7 linked regions of the Bombyx mori genome follow. The protein of the gene in region 1 binds, or shares a complex with, the protein of each later gene. Links are inferred from orthologs where the notes say so. Each region holds a gene or a part of one and is shown in the gene's direction. Other genes may lie near its edges.

Region 1 (3,315 bases):
CCAAGTCATCTTCACTAAAACCTGTAAATTGTGACATGTTTTATTTGTTTTTACATAGATATGTCAGGGTTATGTTTTTCATATAAGGTGCATTAATGTAAAAAATTGCAAAACTCATAGATAGATCGTAAACGTAAAAATCTATATTTTCATTGATTCAACACTGATTCACATCAAATTTTTACTATTCTGCAACACTACTTTGACATTGACTATTTGACGTTATTGGAACTTTTTTAATCACGTTAGATTGAATTCTGGTCTTTTAAGCCAAAAACCCATTGAAATAGTGTTTCGCCCATTTAATTATTCGAATCCATTTAACATTTATTTTAACAATATGTACATTTTGTCTTTAAAATGGTTTGGTGTTATAGCTCTACTCTCAGCATAAGCACTTCAACACACAATGTTGAAGTTCTCGTTTTCTATTCCCAAAATAGTTTTATAAAAAAACCGACTCTACTTTCAATTATTTGATGGTTTTTAGTTAGGCCAAAGATCGTTCATACCATCTTTAATTAAACAAACTTATCTAAATGTTTTTATTGCTAATATATAGTTTTATGGAAGCTTTTCACATATTTTTTCTTCTCTTCACATTTTATCAATAGCGAATTCCTCCAAATACGTTGAGAACTTTCAGCTTAGGTGTGTCGTTTTAGTCGCTACAAGCCCTTCTCTATTAGTTAAACATATTTGAAAGTGTAAAAGATTGTGGAAATATAACAAAATCACTGGACCTGACTTCTCAGGACTTTATGTTTATATAAATTAAAGAAAATAATTACCATTTTCTGTAGTTTTTTTTTCAACTGGGCTTCAATAATAATAAGATGAAATACATACTATTATTAATTTTTTACTACATTTTTTTAAAGGGATTTTATGACCTGGACTAACTAAAACTTTTAGGTCAAGTCTTATTTTAATTTTATGTTACGTAACTTTTTTATATGAAAATTATAGAAATGAAATGAAGTTGAATAATATGAAACATGGCATGAAGTGAAATGAAAACGAAATGAAATGAAATGAGATGAGATGATATGGGATGAAGTATAATCTCAGTAAAATGGTGATCATTTACTGAGACTTTTTCAGTGGACTTTTTGGAAGATCTCGAGAACTTACGTTCAGTGGCTTTGTTTCGTTTTCCCACATTTGTGCACTTTCACAGTTACAGTTAAGCAGTTAATAAGCCACCGTTATTACACATTTAAACCTGAAGAAAGACTAATTAGACAAAATAAAACAAACCACTCCTCGCGTTCCCGCCGAAAAGTCCTAGAAAGAACTAATTATAATAAATTTTAAACTACCTGTGTTTTATCTATGGTGGTGTATTATCTATGAGTAGCTGATGGCCGTGTTGCAAATTCAATGCTTTCATAAATAAAAAATAAAAAAATATCTATGAGTAGAAATTAGCGTCGAACTCGAAGCGAAGCCGATACATTTTGAGGTTATATTTTGTATTTCTTGTTAGCCGATATTAAAGTAAGTACTGATGTTTCTTAAATAAGCAATGAAAACAATAAAGGTGGTTTGAAAATGAATTAACATCCAATTTACTTTTTAGAACCTGCAAAAATGGCGGCTGCTATGCCAATAAATCCCAAACCATTTCTTAATAGTCTAACGGGTAAATCCGTGCTAGTTAAATTAAAATGGGGTCATGAATACAAAGGTTTGTTAGTATCAACAGATGGCTACATGAATTTGCAACTTGCTAATACTGAAGAACTTGTCGATGGAACTTGTACAGGTTAGTATTTAAGTGAACAACTTTAAGTAATCACGAAAACATATTAAAGCAAGAGATTAAGATCTACTGGTAGTGGACCTGGACCAAAATTGAATTAAAAATGAGACGTTCATTGTTTGTTTGGTCTATTATGAGTACACTATTCTGCACCCATTTCGACTTCAAAGCTTTCAAGCATTCTGCTTTGAAGAGTAGATTTAATATTCATATTGTAATAAACTTATAAATTCTAGAAGCCACTTAACACTAAATGTCATGGGGTTCATTTGCCCTTTTAAAGAAAAAAAAAGTACTTGCTACAAAGAATGCACAAAATCAATAAATTTCATAACAAGAGACAACTTGACACTTACAAGATTCCAAACCAAACTTTTTGGTTGTGAATAGTTTTGTGAATTTAATTAATTTAAATTAGTAAATAAAATTTAGAAATCAAATCTTAACATTTAAATATTTTTTTTTATATTTTTTTTTAAGAATCTTTTTTATTGTAATTCAGTCCATGCTACATCAAACTTAATGAAGTCATATCAGCAGAGTTCTGTAAAGCTTTAACGGCGTTTGTTTTGAATACTAGTTCAGTTAGTTCTGTTAGTCCATACATACAAAACACTAAATTAAGAACCCTATTAATTTAAGTATTGGGTTTTATTTCCAGGTAATTTAGGTGAAGTTTTAATAAGATGCAATAATGTCTTGTATGTAAGAGGAGCTGATGAAGAAGATGAAGAAGGAGAAATGAAAGAATAATTAGTAATTATTACATAAGTTAGAATAAGGAATTATCTTAAGAATAACAGGCAAAAGGGAAATTTTAAGCAAAAAAATAGAAATTTCATATTACTCTGTTAGCAGTAAAATTACCTTAGGTATATATCCCGAAATACTAATGATTGAGGAGAAAAATGTTAATTGGAACTATTGTTGTATACAATGTTTAAATGAAACAACTTTAATACTTTTTTTTTTTTAATAACTATGTCTGAAACAACCTCTTCAGCATGAATTCCATAACTTGTATAATTAATTATAAGTAAATTTTCACCATAACCTTGTTTTATTTTCTCAACACTAACTTTACAAGAAAAGGTTTGCGATTTATATTGTCCTTGCAAAAAATGAGCATGTGAAAACAGGGAAATATATTGAAATCTAATGATCTTCAATGTATTTTACCCCATTCCTTCTTGCTCTTTTTTGGCCTTTGGGTATTAGATTCCAAATTCGTTTAAAAACACAACCTCATTCGCAAAAACAATTTTCATTTAAAAAAACTTTGGTTCTCATTCTGGTTATGATTTGAAACTAAAAAGTAAATAATACAACCTTATTTTAATATAGTTAAAGCTCTAGAAGTGACTAAAAAGAGATGCATATTATTTTATAGTATCTAGTCTGTGAGAGAACGAGATAGAAAACTCCTACAGGTTACACTTCTACATTTTGCGAATTGCTGCACACTTTGTATTGCTCTGGATGAAGAAAAAAGCTGACTGCCTACTTGGTATTAAGTAGTTGCCATAGCCCACTACATAAATCATCACTCA
Region 2 (4,178 bases), on another chromosome or scaffold:
TAGTGTCTTAAGAGTTCAGGGATCTTTTATTCACTTTCATAATAGAATAATTCAAGATGATTTATTAAGTAAATTTCACATCAAGCCCCTCAAAATCCAATGCAATTGCATTTAAGTGATTATCTTCCAACTGCAGGCTGCTTAATTTAAGCAGTAATACACACAATTTCCACATACATATACACAATAGTTATGTGTCATTAGAAAAAAAAAACTTTATCTTCCATGATATAATCTAAAGAGCACCCAGACTATAAAACATAATAAATAATCATTACATAAACATTTTCATGGCTTAGTCCCTATTTGTACTAATAGCACATTTGTTTGCTCATTAATTGGCCCAAAAGAATTGCATAGAACAAATACGTTTTGTTAAAATAGTAAAGAAAATGTTGTACAGTCTGTGTTGACTTAAAGACAGACTGCTATGAAATTATAGATATTTTATAAAATTATAATTGAAAAGGATATAAATTATGATGGGGACTGCCTGTGCTACTTTCCCCACCTCCTCATCCGTCTGCATTATCTTCTTGATACGTCCCTACAAACAAACAATGTCATGATTTCACTAATCTCAGACTTTTATACATGAAAACAACACATATTTTAAGGTTTTTGAACATTTTTTAAGAACTTTTGAACTTACTGGTGGAAATCTAGCATTGTATTTTCTCTTCTTCAACGGCATTTTGTATGTACGTTCACTATAACACCAATTAAACAGGAAAAATAGTTAAATTTGTCTATAGAACTATTACTTCTCGCGCATTTTTGAGGTTATAAAAGGGAGACGTTCGCAGCCTACTTCATTTATATACGAATTTGACAGTTCGTCTCCACCTCTTTTTGTGACCATTTTGAAACATTGAAATTTTGAACATTAAAATTCATTGCTATGGCGATAATGATAATATTTTTTTCATTTTAAACTCTAAAGACAGTCCGAAAACATATATTTCGAAAAGAATGATGACTTGTGATTGTGAATAATTTTGTTTCAGTCAAGTTAAAAAAATCGTTCAGAAATATCATTTTAAAAACAGCATCGAGAACTATGAATTTTTATTGCGAATTCCTTCAGGATTGATAACAAAAAAACCGTTCAATGATCAACAACAATGGTACTATTTAATGTATAGGCGAAATTAAATAACAAAAGTTGGTTCGGATGTCTACCTTGCTGACAGTGTACCTTGATTTACATAATACGTCTTGTGTTATTTGAAAAGACCCCCTCAGCATTAGTTTACAATCTCTGCGGAAGAAAAAATCAAACTCAAATTGTCTTTCATTCATTTTATCACAAAATTAGATTACATAAAAACAATTCCATTCCATTTTTCAGACATACGACTTTATAACAAAAGATCAGATTGAAGGATAGTTCTCTTTACTATCCATTGGACGAATCGTACAGAGAAATAAATCAAATGTCAAAATAAATGAACAATGTCAAATTAGTGAAATGTCTACGGTATTTCAGATTCAGACATAAAAATGGCGTCGTTGTCGAGGTGTGTTTTAAATGAAAACAATCAACTTAAATACTTGAAATTGAATATACAATAAACGCCGAAATTAAATAATAACTGATTAAAGCTACTAGTTAAATTAACTATTGTAAATAAATAATTTCATACGTTTACGTATTGACAAACTGACCGTGGTTCACGTTTCATTTTTAGCTTGTTGCCTGCCCCTAGTCAGCAAGTGTGGGATAGAGATGATGAGTTGAAGGCTAAACGTGTCGGGAGTGCTCTTGTAGTGTCCCAGACCAGTGTGCCACCTTACGGTGAGAGGAAAGGATGGGTACCTCGAAGAGACGAAGATTTTGCAGGTCTGTTAAATTTTGTAGATAAAAAAGTGAATAACCCCCGAAGTGAGAATCAAGTCAAAAAGTAGGTTTTTATTTGAAGTCGGAAAAAGAGTATCATCATCGATTCTATTCATACAATAGCATGTTTACTTCTGACGTGTGCTTATCCAGATATTAATCAGTAGTTGTGGCTTTCATATGAATTGAGAGACGGGAATAACCCCCGAAGTGAGAATCAAGTCAAAAACTAGGTTTTTTATTTGAAGTCAGAAAAAGAGTGTCATCATTGATTCTATGCATACAATAGCATGTTTACCTCTGACCTGTGCTTAACCAGATATTAATCAGTAGCTGTGGCTTTCATGTGAATTGAGAGACGGTATGCCGCAGGGTGTTGGAATCTGGATACCGAACTAGATCTTTCAGTAATTCTGAATGTCATTCTTACATAAAAAACCAGGTTATTATAATTAAAGTGGTTTTTGTGACATAAAACTACATAGCCTAATAATATAATCTTAATAATAAAATACATAGCTTAGTAACTATTGTGATGGCTTGGGATACAGGTGTATACAAGCTTGTGTAATGAAATAAATGTAAATTGTAATAATATATTTACAGTAAGAACTTGCTTAATGAGTGATAATATACATTCCATCAAAGTAGAGTTTAATATGAAACAGCATTAAACATAATCTCATAATGTAAATAATGGGGTTAGGTTAGATAGAAAATTGGTGAGGTATATAACATTAAATACCTCACCAATTTTCTGTCTATCTTTCTCCTATAAAACAATAATCTATTTCTTACAAATATAGAAACAATAAATGAATATAGTCTGTATGTTTATGTTGTATTTCAGTTCATACAGTTTCTTCTGTATTGCCAATTTTCTGCCTTTATTTTGCCAGGTGGTTGGATGTGCTAACAGCCCACGTGATGTTAAGTGGTTACTGGAGCCTATAGACATCTACATCGTAAATGCCACCACCCACCCTCAGATTTGTGTTCTAAGGTCTCATCTTTAACTACGGCTGCCCCACCTTTCAAACTGAAACTCATTAATGCTTTATAGTGTAAATAGGCAGGGTGGTGATACATCCCCGTGCAGACTCACAATACGTAATACCACCAGTAATTACGCATTATAATTTTGTGGATTTGATTATTATTATGTGATGTTATTCCTTCACAGTGGAAATCACTTGTGAACATTTGCTAAGTACGTTCATTGGAAAAATTGCCAGATTCCTTATTGTTGTCGTTGCCAAATTTAATGCAGCACCAATTTCAGATTGACATTCACCAGTATCTAATCTTCTATTAGCTTGCATCTAGTTTCTAGGGAAATAGTTTTTCTTGTTGCTTTATTTTTGTGTTTTTGTTAACACCCATGATAAAAACTTAAAATAAAAATATTTGTCACTTTATCAATCATTGTATCATATAAATTTGTACTTACAATAACACCAACAAATGTTTGAAATGATAAAAATATGTTGGATAACACTGCAGGATAGGAAAAACACAGAATAATTTATTCTGATATCGGGAAGCCTAGTGCCGTGTGCAATTTCAGGTCTTCTTCAGGCAAATCTTACAATTCAAATAAAAGAGAGTTAAACTGAAATCCCACTGAACGAGTCAGCATTATGTCAGGGTCTTACTGTACTTTCAAATTACACCTAAAATTAATTATATACGCAGTATTGCTTCAAAGCTTGTATGTTTTAGATGGCGGAGCATTCCCAGAGATCCATGTGGCACAGTACCCGCTTGGTATGGGAATGCGAGGCAAGGAGAGTACTTCAAACGCTCTTGCTGTCCAGCTGGATGAGTCTGGGAGAGTCAAATATTCTGCGATTGCCAGACAAGGACACAGCGCTGACAAGGTGATCAGTTAATTATTTGACATGGTGAATGAGAACACAATAGATATTATTGTTGAAGTCCTTGATTACTAAACACTTAGATATGTAAACACATAATAGGCTGATTAGAGAAATAATTTAAAACATCTAACAAGTTCTGTGAAGTCTGTTAAAAATCTCTGAATCTTTATTTATTTTAAAAGTTTTTGACTGTAAATAATATGTCTGTGTAGAATAATTTAAATGTGACCATTGATGTCATTGTTGGAAAAGGCGCCTGTTTAGTTGAATGAACAAATATTATGGTACCATAATTATTTCTGCACAGATTTCAATTTTGTATCATATAACCAGTCATCTAAATGGATCGATAACTTAACATTAAATAATATTAATTGAGAAATAAGCAGTAACATAGTTTGAGCATTTCCTGAAACCATCTCTAGGAAAGTATTATTGGAAATTTTTCCAACCAACAG
Region 3 (4,110 bases), on another chromosome or scaffold:
ATTATTATCAATTTAAAATACGTTTAGATCAAAATAAGGAAAAAAGAAAACAGAATATTTATTTTCGTGCTTTGTTCGTCTTGGTGAGAAGAAATCGAATCATCTTGCCACTCGTCTTATTGGAAGTGGTCACTACAAAATAAATGAAATTAATAATTTAAATGTTTATGCATTGGTTGCATGTAATTCATATTTTTACGTAGACATTAACAGGACAAATTTTAATGTAACAAACCTCTTCGCCAGTTGGTCCGTGTATTCGAAAATTTAAATCAAAATAATTTTCAACCAAAGATTTGACTTTAGAAGAACTAAAGGCTCTTACTTTATCATTTAAAATGAGGTTTCGAGTTGTGACGCTGAAAATGAGTGATTAATAAAATTAAATGTTAGAAAAATTACTCACATGACTTTATATTCTTCTCAGCCGCTAATTGCAATTATTTTTAATTGTGATTAATCGACTAATTTATAAAATACCAGCTATTCCAAGTAGCTTTACTTGCCACACAAAGTAAGCGCATTTTTGAAGAACATAACATTTACTTAGCCGTCCATTCGAAATATCGTAGCGCGATATGAGAAACCGATAAGTCGCAAGTATAATTTTACAGTTGGTATACTTACGTCGCCATACGATCAACAAAACGTAGCATAACTTAATAAAATGATACTAAAAACAAACTGTATATATTTGCTATAAGGAAACAAAGCAGAAAGTATTGCACATAAACCGTATTTTTATTTTTGTACAGGACGTGTCATTAAAAATATATGTAAAGAACATAGGTAGAGAAAACAATCACTTTCTGGTATGAAAAGTAGGTTTACATATTATTATAAATCCTCTTTTCTCAGTTTTACTTCATGCTGTACTAAATTACAGGATCTTTTAAAGATTTTAACGGAAACTTTATCTTTTTTATCTACGGATATCTACAAGGCATTCACAGCTTTTACAGCGCGTCCTCAAGGATGCCAATCTGCTCGCGCAGCTGTTTCGCGAATGAGTACATATACATCGAAAATACTCGCATAAAATATTAAATTATTGTATGTTTTTATTCCTGTAAATGAACAGGAGCTCGTAAAGCATCTAGTTTAAGCGGTTGCCACTAAAGCCCATAAAAATCACAAAACAAGATTATATATAATTTTGTTCTACTTCTAATTATTTCGGTTCGTTTTATTTAATTTTACTCTCAAAAGACGTGTCTAACTAGTCTGACTACATGTACGGACTATGTTCCCTTTGCTTTATAAGTGAACAAAACATGTCAAAGTCAAAGTGAAAAATAAAACAATCAATTTTACTAAGGAGACGGTGTTTGATGGTTAGCACATGCGAACGACTTTTCCTTTTAATTTTTAATTGTTTGTGTTTTTGGTTATATTTTTTGCTGCCTATATCTATCTGTGTTTGTTTTTCTTGTTGTGATTGTCAAATTTTGTGTGAAGTCATAAGGTAAGTTTTCATTTATTTAATCTCGCGTAGTCAATGCGGGCCGATCATGGAGGTTGACGATCGACCCCCTGGACGTCCCCCAGATCCTAGTTTAACCTGGAACGATGAGGGACAACATCCTCAGGGTGATTTTACATACTCACCAGTCCTTACTGTACCATTAACTAGTTTCGAGTCAATTGAGGCACATCATCGTAAGCGAGCTCTCGAAACCAACAATGATAATGATCTTGCTTCGTCTACTTCCAAACAACAACGACCGTTAGCACCTAATAAGTATAGTCGCGAACGCTATTCTGCGAGGGATGTGGCTCCATTTTTGGTCCATGTTACTCGTACAGAATCTGACCCGAAATCGGGAACTACCCTCCACCCCATTAAGTTTGGACAGATGATGATCAAACTTAATATTAAAAATGTTCTTCCTGATGGAGTCAAAAAAATAGGTCGGAATAGGATTGCTGTCCAGTTTAAATCTCCAGAGGATGCAAACTCATTTTTGACCAACAAAGAATTGCTAGAAAATGGATACTCCTCATTAATCCCGACTTATAATATCACTAGGATGGGTATTATTAAGGGTATGCCTAATGACTGGTCAGAAGAAGAGATAGCTTTAAATATTAAGACACCATCTGGTTGTGGCGGAATACTGAAGGTGAGACGCATTAATCACAAAGTTATTACTGATGGGGTACCAGAGTGGAAACCTACTTCCTCTGTGGTTCTTACATTTGATGGTCAGACCCTCCCAAAACGTGTCTTTTGCTGCTTCAATTCCCTCCCTGTAGATATATATTATTTCCCTACTGTACAATGCTTTGGATGCTGTAAATTCGGTCATACAAAAACTCAATGTCGCTCAAAGCCCCGCTGTTTCCGCTGTGGTGATGAACACTTTGGTGAGAACTGCACTAAAGAGGACCCAACTTGCTTTTATTGCTCTGGACCTCACTGTGCTAATAGCAAGCAATGCCCTGAATACCAGAGACAAAAAAATATTAAAGTTGCTATGGCCCAGAACAACATCTCATATGCAGAAGCATCCAAAACATTCCCTACTGTGTCAAAGTCCTTTGCTGATGTTTCAGCATCAGTCCCTCCCACAACTCATATTATTCCTTCAGCCCCCTCGTCCTTACGTTTCCATCCTCAGACTTCCTCTTCCTCCTACAGAAAAACGATCCTCCAGAAGCCTAAAAGTCATGCCCCTCACGTCCCGGGCTATGATCAAAGAACCCATAGAGCTATTACTAATTCCTACTCTTTTTCTCCCTCTACTAATGGCTGCGCTCTCAGTAAAAATTCTTCTCCTTCTGAAGATATTCCCTCTAGTGAAATCTTCTCTCTAATTAAACTACTAGCTTCTCTTTTAACTAAAATTAACCTACCTGACCACGTTGCCAATGACATAATTGACACTATTTTTTCCCACCATAATGGATCTAAATCTCTTGCAGTGGAATGCCAGGAGCGCCCTCCCAAAAAAACATGACTTTCTCCATTTAATCAATTTATATAATCCCGCAATCTTTGCAATTTCTGAGACGTGGCTCTTGCCACATCTCCCATTTCACATCCCAGGTTATAGCACCTACCGTGATGACCGTGATGACGGGTATGGTGGTGCTGCTATACTGGTCAACAATGTCTTCCCTTCTTCTTCTCTTTCTCTTCCTCCTCATGGAGCCGAGATTAATGCCATTGGTGTTAACATCCTTGGTATTAATTTTATCTCCATTTATTTCCCTCCTTCTGTCCCTATATGTATTCCTTTCCTAAGAAATTTATGTATTTTATTGAACCCAATTATTCTTATGGGAGATTTTAATTGTCATCACTTCTTGTGGGGATCTGACCATTGTGACGCTTCAGGTACATATTTGGCAGAGCTAATAGATGAAATAGGGTTATACGTCCTTAACGATGGATCAGCCACTAGACTCCCTAGACCGGGTCAAAGCAGAAGCTGTGTGGACCTAACACTGTGTTCATCCACACTAGTAAATTCCCTAGACTGGAAACGTCTTAATTCAACATACGGTAGTGATCATTACCCTATTTGTTCTACCTTTTCCAATAGGTCTCTCCCCAGCAAAAATAGAACTCCCTTATTGCAGTATCGCATTACTGACGCCAGGTGGGACATTTACCAACAGAATCTAGATAAAAGAATCCTTTCCTTTCCCCAAATCTCTTTTGACAATTTGGATGCTTGTTTGAGTTTGTATTCAGATTCCATTTCAGCTGCTGCAGATCTGAGTATTCCCTTGAAAAATTCAGCTTTGGGAAAATTATCTTCTCCTCCCTGGTGGGACAGAGAATGCACAGACCTTATTAAATCCCGGAAAGAAGCTGAATTTAATTACATCAAGAATATGACCCTCTCCAACCTTCGGGAATTTAACAGAATAGTGGCTAAATCCAAGCGCACATTCAAGAAAAAAAAGTATGAGAGTTGGAAAAAATTTTGTTCCTCTCTTTCACCTTCATCCCCGTCTTCCCTAGTCTGGCAAAATTATAAAAAATTTAGACGCGGATGCTTCCCTCAAAATTCTCCCAATATCTCACGGAGCATCGCCCTACAATTCATTAACAGATTGGCTCCTGCCTATGCTCCTCTTATTGATGAGTGTCCCTCATTG
Region 4 (3,273 bases), on another chromosome or scaffold:
CGGGTAATTCGTTTTGAGTAAATTCGCAATTTTGGCGGGAATGCGAGGAGTGAAGTTGTGTGATTTGCTTTATTTTGTCTATTTAGTGTTTCTTCGGGTTTAAACGTGTCATAACGGTGGTTTATTAACTGTTTAGTATCTGTAAAAGTGCACTAATCTGGGAAAATGAAACAAAGCTGCTAAACGTATCTCGGGATCCTCCAAAAAGTCCACTGAAAAAGTCTCAGTAAACGACCACCATTTTACTGAGATTATATTTCATCCCATATCATCTCATCTAATTTCATTTCATGCCAATTGATTAAGTTTCCTTCGTTTTTTATTATTCATAAACTGTAAATAATTAAAACGACTAATTATAAAAATCTTAGTACTTGACGCTGGCTAATGCACAAACCGTGCCGGAACTAAAAACTAAAGAAGAAGAAGAAGTAAGAATTAGAAATTTTAAAGAGGTGTTACAACAGTTGAGACACGTTTAAATATTACTGCTGTACTATGCCCACATGTCTAAAATAAATCTATTTGTTGAAACGACCCGCGCACCACCTGTCGTACGTCATTGGTACTACGTCAGCATTAAACCTAAATGCCAATCTGAACGCCACGAATAGATTTGGGAATCCATCAACACCACAAACAATAGAGTCGGTTCGTTAAAAATAGTGGTGGTAGGAGCTCTTGTGAGTCTGCGCGGGTAGCCACCATCCTGCCTATTTCTGCCGGGAAGCAGTAATGCGTTTCGGTTTGAAGGGTGGGGCAGCCGTTGTAACTATACAGAGACCTTAGAACTTATATCTCAAGGTGGGTGGTGCATTTACGTTGCAGATGTGAAGCAATAAAAAAAATCTTGGATTTGTTTTAAATAATTTTTTTTTTTATTTTTTCAGAGGAGAGACTCCGGCTCTGTACCAAGTACTGCCGGAGCGCCGCGTGGGGGTGACGTCAGGGATGATGGCGTCCACGCACGTGTACGACATTAACGCAACGAACCCCGGTCAGTGCACTCATCTATATCTATACTTCTATACTAATATATAAGTCTACAGTGGTTTTTACGGATGTTCCGTTATAACTACTGAACCATTCATCCGATTGACTTGAAACTTGGTATCCATGTAGAAAATACATGTACTTAATGGATAGGCTAATATATATATATGAGTGTTGGACTCCCTAATAATAATGACCACCATAAATAATAATGTTAATTAAAATGCCCAGCGAAGCGGACGGGTACAGCTAGTTATTGATAATTATATTTTAAACAGGATTTTGTTCGCGTTAATGTGATAGAGATTATAACTCTCAGAGACATATTATTTTTCTAGTAAAAAGATACATCATGTAATGCTCTACATCCCTGTCAACGTCTGTTGCACAATTTCATGATAATCTATTGAGTATTTGTTACGAGAAAACATACAAACTCATCTTCGTATTTATTATTTTAGGATGGGTTTAAATAGACTTAATGAGATTTCATAAGGGAACAATGTTATAAAACTATACTATGTAGGAATGTAAATTGACGATGAAACATCGGGTATACTTTCTGATTGAATTAGTCAGTATATCGACGCTTGAAAGGCAAACATGACTAAGCGACAATGATTGCTTTGTACATAAATGATAGGTAATTACCATATTCGATGCGCAAAAAAAATTTATTTCTAGGTCTATTAAAATTATTTCAATCTTACAGCTACTAGCTAGATTCTACTACAGCTAGATTCGTTAAAATATTTTTTTTCCAGGTATTACAACTTTAAATTAGTCTACTGTAAAGTTCACGCATTGTCGCTTAGTCACGTTTGCCTTTCAAGCGTCGATATGTAGATTTAAAAAAAAAAACTTGAATTAGTTGCGGGGTTTTAGGAATTAGGCGGGTTTAAGCCTTTCAACTTTATGTGTCATGATAAATCATAACTTATATGTATAACGAATCCCATCCCGCGTGTATTTTGAAGTTGGGGTATCGGCACTTTTAATTTTAGCTTAAACAAGTACATTCTTATGATATAATATTTTGTATTTGTGTAAGGTCATTTTTAAGTTAATTTGAAGCTATAGTTCGTTCGCGTTAAGAATCCAGTGAGTCATCATTGTTCGCAAATCTTTTTAAATTACAAGGTCAAGTTCACTGCAGTGACAAGTTGATAAATTCGTTAATTGTCTATGATTGATAAATTCGATGAATTAGACAAAATTAAATGTGCTATAAGAAGAAAACTACACTCGATATATTTAAATAATATATTTATTTATTTAATTTATATATTTAAATAACCCAACATTAAATAAAATTATCACAATTTTTTTTGTCATAATTAATATATTAATGATTTCATTTTGATTTTTAACTTTTAAGTGTATTTTTTAAATTCATTAAACTTAATCTTTGAAAATATAATTTGTATGAATTTTACACCACTGTGAATACATCTTTACTCGCAGTTGCACTGGTGACTCACTGCATTCTTAACGGGAACGAACTATAGGGATAAGAATAGGGTGTGATAATATTATGTGGTGCATAGTGAAGCGAGCGGGCGCGACCTCGACGGGTCACGGCCCGGCGGGCGGCGTGGAGGTCACGCTGGACCCCTCCGAGCTGGAGCTGGAGCCCGAGGCGGTGGCGGCGCGCTACGAGCGCCATCTGCGCGACCAGCGACCCAACACCCACGAGGACCTCTCCGACATGCTCGCGGACCACGTGGCCAGGCAGAAGGTGAGCAATGCCAGAGACACAGCTGAGTCGCTCCCTATTAGGGTTGCCACCCGTACTTTATTTTAGGTATTTTTACTCTATACTTTATGTCAACAATAAGGTACACGAAAATATGTACTCTATTTGGCATGATTTGGTTTCTTAGGGATTTTGAAAAGTTTAGTCATATGAATTTTTTTTTGTAACCGAAATACATCGATTGCTCAATCGATGTCGTCACTCGCCAACGGTACATCACCTACGCACTCGTTTTCTTAGTTTGTTCAATTGTAATAAAAAATACGTATTTAAAAATAATAATACATAATTAAAAATACACTGTACTTTATTTAAATACTATATTCTTTTTTCCTACCTATAATAATCAATGTACTTTATCTGCAAAAAAAAGGTGGCAACCCTACTCCCTATCGCTGATACCGCAACGCGCAGTCTTATAGTTAGATTTGAATTCTCATGATAACTATCACCTTGATTCGAGTTGTAATCAAACACGTTGGGATGGATCATTAAAACGTATTGTAATTAAAACTTACCCGTCT
Region 5 (2,260 bases), on another chromosome or scaffold:
TCACAGCGGTCGGGGAACTTTTTTAATTATTACCCCAAAATATATTTTTTTAAGTTGGTTGGTTGGGTAATTACCCCATGGCGAAGAACAAAAAAAATATGAAATCGCTTCTTTTTAGTATCTTTCATATTATAGCCCCGATGATAATTTTCAAAAGAAAAAACTAAAAATTTAATTTAAGCATCATTTATTCAATTTATCAATGTAATACATAGTAATACATAACGGTAATAATAGTAATATCTGTAATATACAGTTGAGGAAAAAAAATCACCCCCACAGAGAATATAAGTAATTGATAATTTCTTGTTATTTTATAATTCACACGATGCCTACAATAAAATACCTGGGTCAATCACGTGAACTTTGTGTTTCCAAATAATGTGTTCTATCTCATTCTCTCGCCGGCTGAATCCTATATATTTATGTGTTTGTGTCTCTATGGACTTATTTTTCGTTTCGTTTAATTTCGTTTCATCGAATTTGAAATCACAACGATTCTAAAGAAGCTTCACTTCAATATATACTTTTTACTCACAAAAGTTTCATTTTTACGCCCCAAAATTTCATTTTAGGTAATTTACCCCGGTTCCCTGGCTGCTGGTGTATCATAATAATTTGTGAATATATGATCCGTCAGATCTTTTCTACCCAATTTACACGCTTTATATTAACTTCACTTGTATGTATGTTTGCAACTGACTCCTTTAGACGCGATTTTGACCCACTTTAAACGGCCAGAATTCATTCAAACTTTGTAGATTTATCGAGGACCGATAAAAAAATACTAATTTGATAAGATTATTCCATTATTCAATTTATAAAATAAGATTTTGGTCAATTTATATAATTTTTATCTATACTCGATAAGGCAGGAATTGATGTTAATGTACTTAATAGTTTTAAAAATACGCTTTTAAAGAAAATTTAAAATACATAATAGTTTAAAAAACTAAAAAAGACACTTTATATAAAATTCAACTAAAAAATTAAAATAAATTTTAATAAATTTAAATTGAAAATAGTGTAAAATATATTTTATTTAAAAAAAAGAGTGGGGTGCTTTTTAAGATATTATTGAAATAATAATTCTTCTACTCATATCTGTCAGAAAAATATTTATAACTAATAACACCATGCACCCCATGCTTTTTTTACAATAAAATATATTTTACACTATATTCAATTTAAATTTATTAAAATTTATTTTCTATTTTTTTAGTTGAATTTTAGATAAAGCGTGTTTTTTATTTTTTTAAACTATTATTTATTATGTAGTAATCATGTAGGTAGTAATAGTAATTGTAGTAGCTATTATACTAATCTGTGTAGGTACACATTTCAAATAATAATCTGTGGCAGCTCCCTGAAATTTGAAAATTTCTTATAGTTGTTTGATGTTGATTATTACTAATTTGAATTTATAAATAAAATAATTAGAATGGCTTCTGGACTCGAAAATTACGTGAATCAAACAGTGTCGGTAATAACTTCGGATGGACGTAATTTTATTGGCACCCTTAAGGGCTTTGACCAAACAATAAATATTATTTTAGACGAATCTCACGAAAGAGTGTTTTCCTCCACAAGTGGCGTCGCTCAAGTAGTACTTGGACTTCACATAATCAGAGGAGACAATGTGGCAATAGTCGGGCAAATAGACGAGTCAATTGATAGCAGATTAGACCTCGGAAACATCAAGGCAGAACCACTTGGACCAATGGTACATTAGAACTAGTTAATAAATGTTTTGTTATCAATCGGTGTTTCATTTGGGCAAATAAATATCATATTTTGTATTCGTCTCTTGTCTTGATTTACTAATTCGCAAAGCAGAATACATATTTTCACCCATAAAAATTAATCTTAGCCCTGGCTTGGGTTTTCCATTCTCTGAATAGGATTTGTGATAGCATGCCCTGTAATACCTGTTAGAATAGACAACACCCTGGATATATGTTCATTTCTTTGAACATAATCCTTAGGAAGTTACTTATGATGCCTATTGTAAACTACCAAATTAAGGGTTATATGTTTTACTCTTTCACAAAATACACATGAAGGTTCAAATACATTAAATCCCTGTATAATATATTCACAGGAATCAAAAATATTCATAGGTACTAAAAGAACCTTATTTCTCATTTGCTAATGGGTCTCATCACAATCAGCTCAGTTAGCCTGTTACCAACACAATTTTTTTAATGTGTTTGTGCTCTAGTAACTGGCATATAAATAACCGTTTTAGAATAAGCATAAT
Region 6 (4,292 bases), on another chromosome or scaffold:
GTTGATGGTTTCCATGGATTATTTTAATACATAAGATACTATTACGTATAGCACTCTCAGACCGAATAATACAGACTCAAAATATCAATAAAACTGCCAACTGATATCGCTTATTAAGAAACTTGTAACTTACTTTTACATTAATAAATTATTTCTTAGCATTGAAGTTAGCGTTTTACAAACTGTTAGCTTTATCAACTAGTTCTAATTTAAGTCTAATTAGATTATAGCATAAAGTTGATCTTTGATTTAAACAACAACTCTATGATAGCTATGCGCACCATCTTCAATCACATTCCTCATAATATGTTGAAAACATATAAGCTTAATTCGACAAATATTAAATTTTTCAATCTATGATCGAGAAGTATACCGTAAAAATAAAATTAGTAGGTACGTATACTTAATGGTTTTTGGGTTGATTTTGTAGTTTGGTTAGTACGAAAGTGTTTTGAATTCTCTTTGGTAGGAAGCTTTTAGTAGTTATTGGTATTACTGCCTTAAAATTCAGTCTATTGTCATTGATTTTTTGGCGGGAGGGCGAGGAGTGAAGTTGTGTGATTTGTTTTATTTTGTCTATTTGGTGTTTCTTCGGGCTTAAATGTGTAATAACGGTGGCTTATTAACTAATTAGTATCTGTGAAAGTGCACAAATGTGAAAATGAAACAAAGCCACTGAACGTAACTTCTCGGGATCTTCCAAAAAGTCCACTGAAAAAGTCTTATTAAATGTCCACCATTTTCTGAGATTATATTTCATCCTATATCATCTCATCTCATTTCATTTAATTTCATCCAAGTTGATTAATGTCTCAAATCAATCATCTTCATTTCATTTTATTTTAATCGGCCCTCTGGTGTAGTGGTAAGTGACATGGTCACTACACAAGGGGTTCGCGGGTTCGAATTCCGCCAAGAGAAGGTATTTGTATGATAAATATAAATGTCTTTTCCAGGGTTATGGATGTATCTTAAATATATGTATGTGTATAATAAAAATCTTACGTTTATTTCCGTTATCTGGTACCTGTAACACAAGTTCTTTACGAACTTATCACAGGACCAGTTAACGTGGTGTGATTGTAAGTAAAATATTTATATTTTATATTTATTTATATTTAATTTCACTCCACATTATCATTTATCATAAAAATAAGAATATAATATTATGTTAAAATAAGACATGACTTAAAAATCTAAATTACCAGGTCATAAAATCCCTTAGAAAAATATCAGAATGTATAATCTATGATTCAGTCTATTGCAAATGGCCGTCAAACAAATTGATTTGTATTAGAGTTGTTTGTAATTTTTTCTTCCAAATGTGGTGTTATATTAACTTTGTTGAAAGTGATACAATACATTTCAAGCCTTAAACTCGAAAAGGTAAGTAAAAAATGCTCAATTACAAGTATATTTCAAATAGTAATACCTCGTTCCGTTAAACAAGCTTTCATTTGATTAGTGATACTTATAAAGTTCTTCGTTGTAGTAGGCGGTCAGCAATGTCGCTGCCGCCGTATCTGCTGGGGCCCAACCCCTGGGCCACGATGATGGCGCAGCAGCAGTTGGCAGCGGCACAACAAGCGGCGCTTCAAGCGCACGCGGCTGCCGCTGCTGCTGCGCCCCCGGTGCCACCAGCGCAGCCCCCTAAACCAACTCATGTTCCCGAGGAGAAGATAAAAGAAAAAGGTCAGTTTAGTATTCAATGCTATGTATTTATTGTTAGATGTAAACTAGGCATTAGTACGGATATTGATGTAAAGAAGATAAATTATTAGACTAACCTAAAAAAAAAAGGACAACGTATTACCATTATTGATAACCGACTTTTAATATTTCATACAATTAAATGTTTATTTTTGTATCCATTGAAGGTGAATGAATATTTGGCATTCCTTATTGATTTTTGTATAAAAATTAATATTCATACTGATACTTACCATTGATCTCTTGAGTTACTTATTTCAAATCTATACTAATATATAAATCTATAATAGTTTTTACGGATATTCCGTTATAACTACTGAACTATGCATCAGATTGACTTCAAACTTGGTATCCATGTAGAAAATACATGTACTTAATGGATAGGCTAATATTTATATGAGTGTTGGGTTCCCTAATAATAATGTTAATTTTAAATGCCCAGCGTAGAGGGCGAGTATGGCTAGTAATTCATATATTTTATCAAATGAATAGGACACCAATTAAAGGTATGATTCTGTTAGTTAAGTTGGCCAAAATTCATACCCTATATCATATGCAGTATGGAAAGACGGTATATTATTGATTGCTCTATATTTCAGTTATGTATATAACATATATGTAAGATTAAATGATAAGAAAACTAATGAATGATTAGAATCATTGAAGCAATATAACAACCTGGTAAAAATCTATAATAAGAGGAATGTTATTATATTTGTGTACTGATTTTTTCAAGTCAACACTACATAACATCGCTGTTGTTAGCAAATTGTATCAGTGGGAAGAACATCAATATGGTAATTCTGTCAGTTTCATGGGTTTTGTGAAGACTGACATGTTATTGCATAATTTTGTCATTAGGGTAGGTTGCTAAATTTTAATACTAATAATAATCAGGTATTGCCATACTTCAAACAAACAAACATATTTTATTTGTTTAGCTATATTTCATATCTGATTCTTAGTACTAAATAATAATGAAAAAGAATGCCAGGAGTCAGTCACATATGCTTGTTAACAACATCCTACTGAATTTTGCTGAGAAGCATTACTGGTGGTAGGACTCTTGTGAGTCCGTGCGGGTCGGTACCACCACCCTGCCTATTTCTGCCGTGAAGCAGTAATGCCTTTTGGTTTGAAGGGTTAGGGCAGCCGTGGTAACTTTACTGAGATCTTAGAACTTATATCTCAAGGTGGGTGGCGCATTTACGTTGTAGATGTCTATGGGCTCCAGTAACCGCTTAATACCAGGTGGGCTGTGAGCTCGTCCACCCATCTAAACAATAAAAAAAGCAACCGTATCTAACTATGTCTAAGGTGTGTAGCTTCAGTCACATGGTGCAGCCTATCTATAGATCTATGAACACATAATAAGAGGTGTCTGAACTTATCGGCCTACTTAACATTTTACTCTAAAAATTGTCTAACAAGACATAGTGTATAAATTCTGTCTTTATGTCTAGTAGCTTTTTAGAATAAAGCAGAAACAGTAATTTTTTTTTATATTGGAATGTAGAAAATTTCTTGTTAATAATAAGCTTACCCTAAAGTTTTTGAAGTTGCTATTTAAAGATATGGTAGCAATTTAGCAGTTGGGGTTAGATTAATTTGCAAGTGATATATTTCCCTTACAAAGTTTAAATGGAAATGCTGACACTGCACACATAAAAAATGCAAACTTTTTTTTTCTCTAAATAAAAAACATACACATTACTGTATATTCAATTTTTTGATGTTATTTTATCTTTTAATTTAATTTAATTATTTTATTTTATATTACCACACTTTTGCCATTTGACTGACTCGGTGGTGCAGTACTCTGCAGTAGTTAGTAAAAGAAATCAAACAACATAATTGTAGCTATGGAAATATGTAATGTAACATATTTTATTGGCGGAATTCACAACTTTTTGCATTTCAGTTTTTGAGTTTGCATTTGAATGCAGTTAAAAAATATAATGACTTGAGTTAAAATTAAGTCAACAGTAAAGAAATCCTCATAAAAAAGTCAGTATAATCAACATGCAAAATTGTCACTAATTATTTGTATTAGTATTGATATTGTTAGGGGTACAGTACTTTATAACTTATTTGTCCATTCATACATGTGTTCTCACCAAAAACTACATCATTTAAACATATTATCTAGCTTTCTTTTAAAATCTATAAATATCTCTTTGGCTAATTATAAAAATATGAGCAAATTTTTCTAGTGTAAGATAAATAAAGCAAGAATGAATTGAAACTGTAAAATTGTATTTTTCACAGATATGATTTGTTGCATTTGTTTCTATTTAAAAAACTCCTTTTAATTATTTATTGCGAAAATGAGTAAACGAGCTTACAGCCCCTCTGGTCTAAAGTGTTTACCAGTATCCGAATCGAAAAATGAAGTCAATTGTAAATCAGTTGCCCTCGTCCTTCGAGTAAAAACGATTGACTATCTACTTTGCGTTCTTGCTTCTAGTACCCGCGTTCAAACTAACAACACGACATACTACCAGGAAAAAATTATCCAAAAATAAGCTTTTGTGTACATTATTTGCTTGTCTGGAAATAAAAAAAATTTAATTGGCATTTTA
Region 7 (4,018 bases), on another chromosome or scaffold:
GTAATAATGATAAACATTGAGCAACAATGAATGCCATAATTTGTCACAAATAGGAAACAAGTAAAATTTTTGTTGAAATGTTTGGTTTGCATAAGGAATATATGTGATTTAAACAGAAAATGTTTTCTTTCATTAAGGTACCAATTTGGATATTCATACCTATCATTGTTCATAACATTGACATCAACACTGAAATACTAATAAGGAAATACAAACCGAACCTGTAAAAATGATAATTTTTGTAATTATTGGTGTTAAGGCATCTTGTTAGCCCACATAGGTAGTTCCTACAACCTTATTTCTGCTGTAAAGCAGTAATGTGTTTTAATTTGAAGGATCAGGCAGCCATTGCTCTATAGCACTAACATTTAGACCTCATGTTTCAAGTATGACATAATTTATGTTGTTCATGCCTATGGGCCTCATAACCACTTCACACTAGTTGGACTGTGAGCACATCTATCTAAGTAACTAATAATAGTTTCATTTTAAAACATTTGTCCTTAATAGTAAGAGTTTATTTTTGTAGTACGTGCATATATTTCTTAGCTAGTTTAAAAGTTCAAAAGATTAATTTGGTACATATTTTATAATAGTGCGTTTAAGTGTGTGTAAACTAAGATTGACAGTTATGTAAATAAAACAAAATTAAAACTTATTAACTATTGGATATATTTGAGAAGTAAAAGTTGTACAGACAAATTTTGAGATAATGAATTTCACTTCTTTCCTTTCTTGGCTGCTGGTTTGTCATCACCGTTCTTAGGAACCTGCCAGTTCAGAGGATTGCGTCGGTACATTGGCCATGGAGGAACAGTAAGAATGGCAGCAAGCAGAAATCCAGCACCAAGAATATACACTGACTGCGAGAATTGCTGAACTATATAACCCCATACAAAACCAACTATACTGAACAATGTAATTATTGCCCTGTATAATTTCTCTGCTTTTGCTTGTCCGACGTAATCTATGTGGGTTGGTATAGATGTAAAGAAATCCATCTTGCTAAATTAGATTAATATCACTTGCCACAACAACAAATTATTTTGAAGAAACTTATCAGAAGTAACCAATTAAACGGTCTGACATTAAACGTCAAGCAATAGACACGTCAATACTAAATTGACGTCGTCATAAAAGATATTACCAGTATTATAAAACTGATTTCTAAACGTTTCTTTTTATTAGCCAATATTTTTTTTGTTCTTCCTAAATTTTATTTTATCAAAAAACTTTTAGCCATATCTTAAAATTTAGATGGCTTGCAACAAAGCTATGTTGATAGTAGTTTTAAGATATTTTCTAGTAATACTGCTTTTTCCTTTCCGTCAGTCGATTGTCAACATTCAGTACGATCAGACTCATTAGGTTAATTTTAGTTTTACAAAAAGATAATTTAGTTTTATTTTTCCAAAGTACAACAATCAAAATTAATTTAACAAAATGACAACGCTTAAACAAGTTCCTCTTACATGCGGTGGCCACACGAGACCAGTCGTGCATTTGGATTTTAGTGACGTTACAAAAGACGGATATTATTTGATTTCTGCCTGCAAAGGTAAGTTTTTATTGTTTATTCGTTTGGGGTGCTTTTGCCTTAGTCGTGACATATATAGGAAACATAATTTTTTCTAATATTAGTGGGGTGTGTTTCACGTTGACAAATGTCGGGCGTCGTGCTACGTTTATGAGACCTTCACTTTAGTTGTTTTGTTCTGAACAGTAGGTTTGGCCGGCGTGCATTCTATGCATGTTGCGACCTTCTCTTTCCGGACATGCAGGAAGCACCTTGAATATCCACTTGTGTGTTTCCTCGGCGCCAGTTTGCCTTGGGCCGCGTCGTGCTTTTTATTCATGTACTAGAGGCTAGTGCATGACATACAAGTTTTTCAACTTTGAATGCATACAAATTTGGAGCGAGCTCGGAAGTTTATTCCTGTATTAAATTAAATGTTGACATTTCACTTATTCTGGGTCACCTTGTACCAGCTCAAGGTTTGTTGTACTTGACATTATTAATAATGATATGGGAGTTCTGACAACATAATACTCTAACACAATGACTTATCTGTAAATTTTATTATAATGAAAATCAGAAATAAATGATAATTATTATAATTTTCACTTCCTTGTATTGCTAATGTGAAATTAATTATATTCAAGTCTTGGCTTACATGTTTTGTTTGTATGATATCCTTGGTTTTAGCTGTTACCTGTTTTGGTTCTGATTTAATAGTTCCATTAATCTCTGATGAATTAATCTTTTTTTTATATGTAAATAAGTATAAAAATCAGGAAATAGCATACTTGAATGTTGTTATTATGTAGTGTAGTATTGTTTATTTATTTCCTTGTATAATTAATAGTTGTTATCATGTTTTGTGTTCTTTTATACAAAATCAGAATTTTAAAATAATATCAACAGAAACTTATTATGAGTTATAATCTGGACACTGAAAATAATTTAGTAGTTGTAAAAAAGCAATAACCAGATATTTTTAAACATAACAAAACTAAAATGTAATAGCAACTAGTTAATTTACAAAGAGCTTTAAACAATGTATGAGCTATGATTGTCTTTTACTATCATTATATACTATCTCATGTATCAACATAGTTTATGTATGAATGCTTAATTTGTCTAATTATTTACATAAATGAGCTATCTTCACTGTTAACAAGGTTGTTTATTCCTCATATTTTATTAATATGATTTCTGGTTTTGCTTTTATTCAGATTATAATGTAATGGCATGTTTTGTTATTAAGATGGCAAGCCTATGTTACGACAAGGTGAAACTGGTGACTGGATTGGAACATTTGAAGGTCACAAGGGTGCTGTTTGGGGTGTGGCACTTACACAAAATGCAAACTTGGCTGCTAGTGGGGCAGCCGATTTTACAGGTAAATATTAAACAAGTAAGTTAAACTGCTTTTATTGAAATGTAAATCTGAAACTGTACACTTCAAATAAGCTACTAATTAGATTAAGGATATCACACTGTGAGTGATTATTTTGTACTTTAATCTCATAGGTTTGAATTTTTTGTTTTATTAATATGATCTAAAGTTATAATATTTTTGTCATTTACACAAAATACCATGGTCTACTTTAGCCACTGACTTACTAAAATAGTAATGAAAGAAGCCAAAAATATTAAATGTTTAAGCTCTGAGTATTTTCTTAGATATGTACTTAAAGTGCTTTGTGAAGCTAAAATGCTGAACAAAATACATATTTTTTGAAATAAATATAATAATATAAAAAAGTTTTTTCATATTAAATTTCCATTCCACTCTGTGATATGTGACCGATTTCACGATTTGAAATAACTAAAAATATGCCTAACCTATTTCGAGTGTGTAGATTTTGAGTTAATGATAATTTTTGGTCACAAAACCCAAAATAGTAAATTTAGTAAAAAGTGATTAAAATAACTATTACAAATTACTTAAAATCAAATTTTATATTTACAGCAAAATTGTGGGATGCTCGATATGGTGATATGGTCCACACTTTTGAACATGAACACATTGTGAAAAGTGTCAATTTCAATGCCGATGACACATTGTTGGTGACTGCTAGCAATGAGAAACTTATACGAGTTTTTGACCTCAACAAGCTTGAAGCTGGACGTATGTAATTGTTGCTTAATTTGGTTTATGTTACTGTTTAGACTAGTTTTTGAATGAATTAAGACCACTATAGTAACTATGAACTAAAATTTCTTTATATAATCTTATTATTGCTTTATTGTTACGTAGTTACTGGAGACCATAGATATGACAAACTGAATACAGCAAAAAAGGCTGGTATATATTATCAAAGCCTACAATATGTGGTCTGAATTTTAATATTAATCTCATAGAAAAATTATGTTGATTTCTTTTGTTAACTGATGACAGTCAAAATATTTTTGACAATTGTGGATCACTCCTTTTATTAGCAATAGTGGTCCGATCAAAATCCTGCTTACTTGCCTAGCATAAATGTTCTTGGTGGGCGGGTGGTTAATTAA

The links.
Region 2: small nuclear ribonucleoprotein protein F (region 1) and puff-specific protein Bx42 share a complex: the UniProt entries of both Homo sapiens proteins name them as parts of the minor spliceosome. The link is inferred for Bombyx mori from reciprocal best matches to the Homo sapiens genes SNRPF and SNW1.
Region 3: small nuclear ribonucleoprotein protein F (region 1) and pre-mRNA-splicing factor ATP-dependent RNA helicase DHX16 share a complex: the UniProt entries of both Homo sapiens proteins name them as parts of the minor spliceosome. The link is inferred for Bombyx mori from reciprocal best matches to the Homo sapiens genes SNRPF and DHX16.
Region 4: small nuclear ribonucleoprotein protein F (region 1) and splicing factor 3B subunit 2 share a complex: the UniProt entries of both Homo sapiens proteins name them as parts of the minor spliceosome. The link is inferred for Bombyx mori from reciprocal best matches to the Homo sapiens genes SNRPF and SF3B2.
Region 5: small nuclear ribonucleoprotein protein F (region 1) and U6 snRNA-associated Sm-like protein LSm8 share a complex: the UniProt entries of both Homo sapiens proteins name them as parts of the U4/U6-U5 tri-snRNP complex. The link is inferred for Bombyx mori from reciprocal best matches to the Homo sapiens genes SNRPF and LSM8.
Region 6: small nuclear ribonucleoprotein protein F (region 1) and pre-mRNA-processing-splicing factor 8 share a complex: the UniProt entries of both Homo sapiens proteins name them as parts of the U4/U6-U5 tri-snRNP complex. The link is inferred for Bombyx mori from reciprocal best matches to the Homo sapiens genes SNRPF and PRPF8.
Region 7: small nuclear ribonucleoprotein protein F (region 1) and serine-threonine kinase receptor-associated protein share a complex: the UniProt entries of both Homo sapiens proteins name them as parts of the SMN-Sm complex. The link is inferred for Bombyx mori from reciprocal best matches to the Homo sapiens genes SNRPF and STRAP.

Annotation. Positions count from the first base shown.
Region 1 is NC_085117.1:15,790,703-15,794,017, forward strand, and holds small nuclear ribonucleoprotein protein F, read left to right. Parts: upstream 1-1,422; 5' UTR 1,423-1,500; intron 1,501-1,582; 5' UTR 1,583-1,593; coding exon 1,594-1,768; intron 1,769-2,426; coding exon 2,427-2,518; 3' UTR 2,519-2,815; downstream 2,816-3,315. Other genes in the region: RAB6-interacting golgin, read right to left, coding at 1-37. UniProt on the Homo sapiens protein: Plays a role in pre-mRNA splicing as a core component of the spliceosomal U1, U2, U4 and U5 small nuclear ribonucleoproteins (snRNPs), the building blocks of the spliceosome.
Region 2 is NC_085130.1:3,027,623-3,031,800, forward strand, and holds the start of puff-specific protein Bx42, read left to right. Parts: upstream 1-1,378; 5' UTR 1,379-1,503; coding exon 1,504-1,520; intron 1,521-1,691; coding exon 1,692-1,843; intron 1,844-3,562; coding exon 3,563-3,720; intron 3,721-4,178. Other genes in the region: uncharacterized protein LOC101746654, read right to left, coding at 475-547, 653-694. UniProt on the Homo sapiens protein: Involved in pre-mRNA splicing as component of the spliceosome. As a component of the minor spliceosome, involved in the splicing of U12-type introns in pre-mRNAs.
Region 3 is NC_085110.1:11,489,415-11,493,524, reverse strand, and holds the start of pre-mRNA-splicing factor ATP-dependent RNA helicase DHX16, read left to right. Parts: upstream 1-1,310; 5' UTR 1,311-1,465; intron 1,466-4,110. Other genes in the region: WW domain-containing oxidoreductase, read right to left, coding at 236-359, 628-656. UniProt on the Homo sapiens protein: Required for pre-mRNA splicing as a component of the spliceosome. Contributes to pre-mRNA splicing after spliceosome formation and prior to the first transesterification reaction.
Region 4 is NC_085131.1:3,913,443-3,916,715, forward strand, and holds part of splicing factor 3B subunit 2, read left to right. Parts: coding exon 1-3; intron 4-890; coding exon 891-997; intron 998-2,540; coding exon 2,541-2,731; intron 2,732-3,273. UniProt on the Homo sapiens protein: Component of the 17S U2 SnRNP complex of the spliceosome, a large ribonucleoprotein complex that removes introns from transcribed pre-mRNAs.
Region 5 is NC_085112.1:10,370,835-10,373,094, forward strand, and holds U6 snRNA-associated Sm-like protein LSm8, read left to right. Parts: upstream 1-1,332; 5' UTR 1,333-1,441; coding exon 1,442-1,732; 3' UTR 1,733-1,760; downstream 1,761-2,260. UniProt on the Homo sapiens protein: Plays a role in pre-mRNA splicing as component of the U4/U6-U5 tri-snRNP complex that is involved in spliceosome assembly, and as component of the precatalytic spliceosome (spliceosome B complex).
Region 6 is NC_085114.1:12,588,053-12,592,344, forward strand, and holds the start of pre-mRNA-processing-splicing factor 8, read left to right. Parts: upstream 1-1,492; 5' UTR 1,493-1,505; coding exon 1,506-1,692; intron 1,693-4,292. UniProt on the Homo sapiens protein: Plays a role in pre-mRNA splicing as core component of precatalytic, catalytic and postcatalytic spliceosomal complexes, both of the predominant U2-type spliceosome and the minor U12-type spliceosome.
Region 7 is NC_085123.1:9,320,351-9,324,368, forward strand, and holds the start of serine-threonine kinase receptor-associated protein, read left to right. Parts: upstream 1-1,218; 5' UTR 1,219-1,443; coding exon 1,444-1,558; intron 1,559-1,728; exon of another isoform or gene 1,729-1,995; intron 1,996-2,736; exon of another isoform or gene 2,737-2,768; coding exon 2,769-2,903; intron 2,904-3,476; coding exon 3,477-3,635; intron 3,636-4,018. Other genes in the region: signal peptidase complex subunit 1, read right to left, coding at 720-1,001. UniProt on the Homo sapiens protein: The SMN complex catalyzes the assembly of small nuclear ribonucleoproteins (snRNPs), the building blocks of the spliceosome, and thereby plays an important role in the splicing of cellular pre-mRNAs.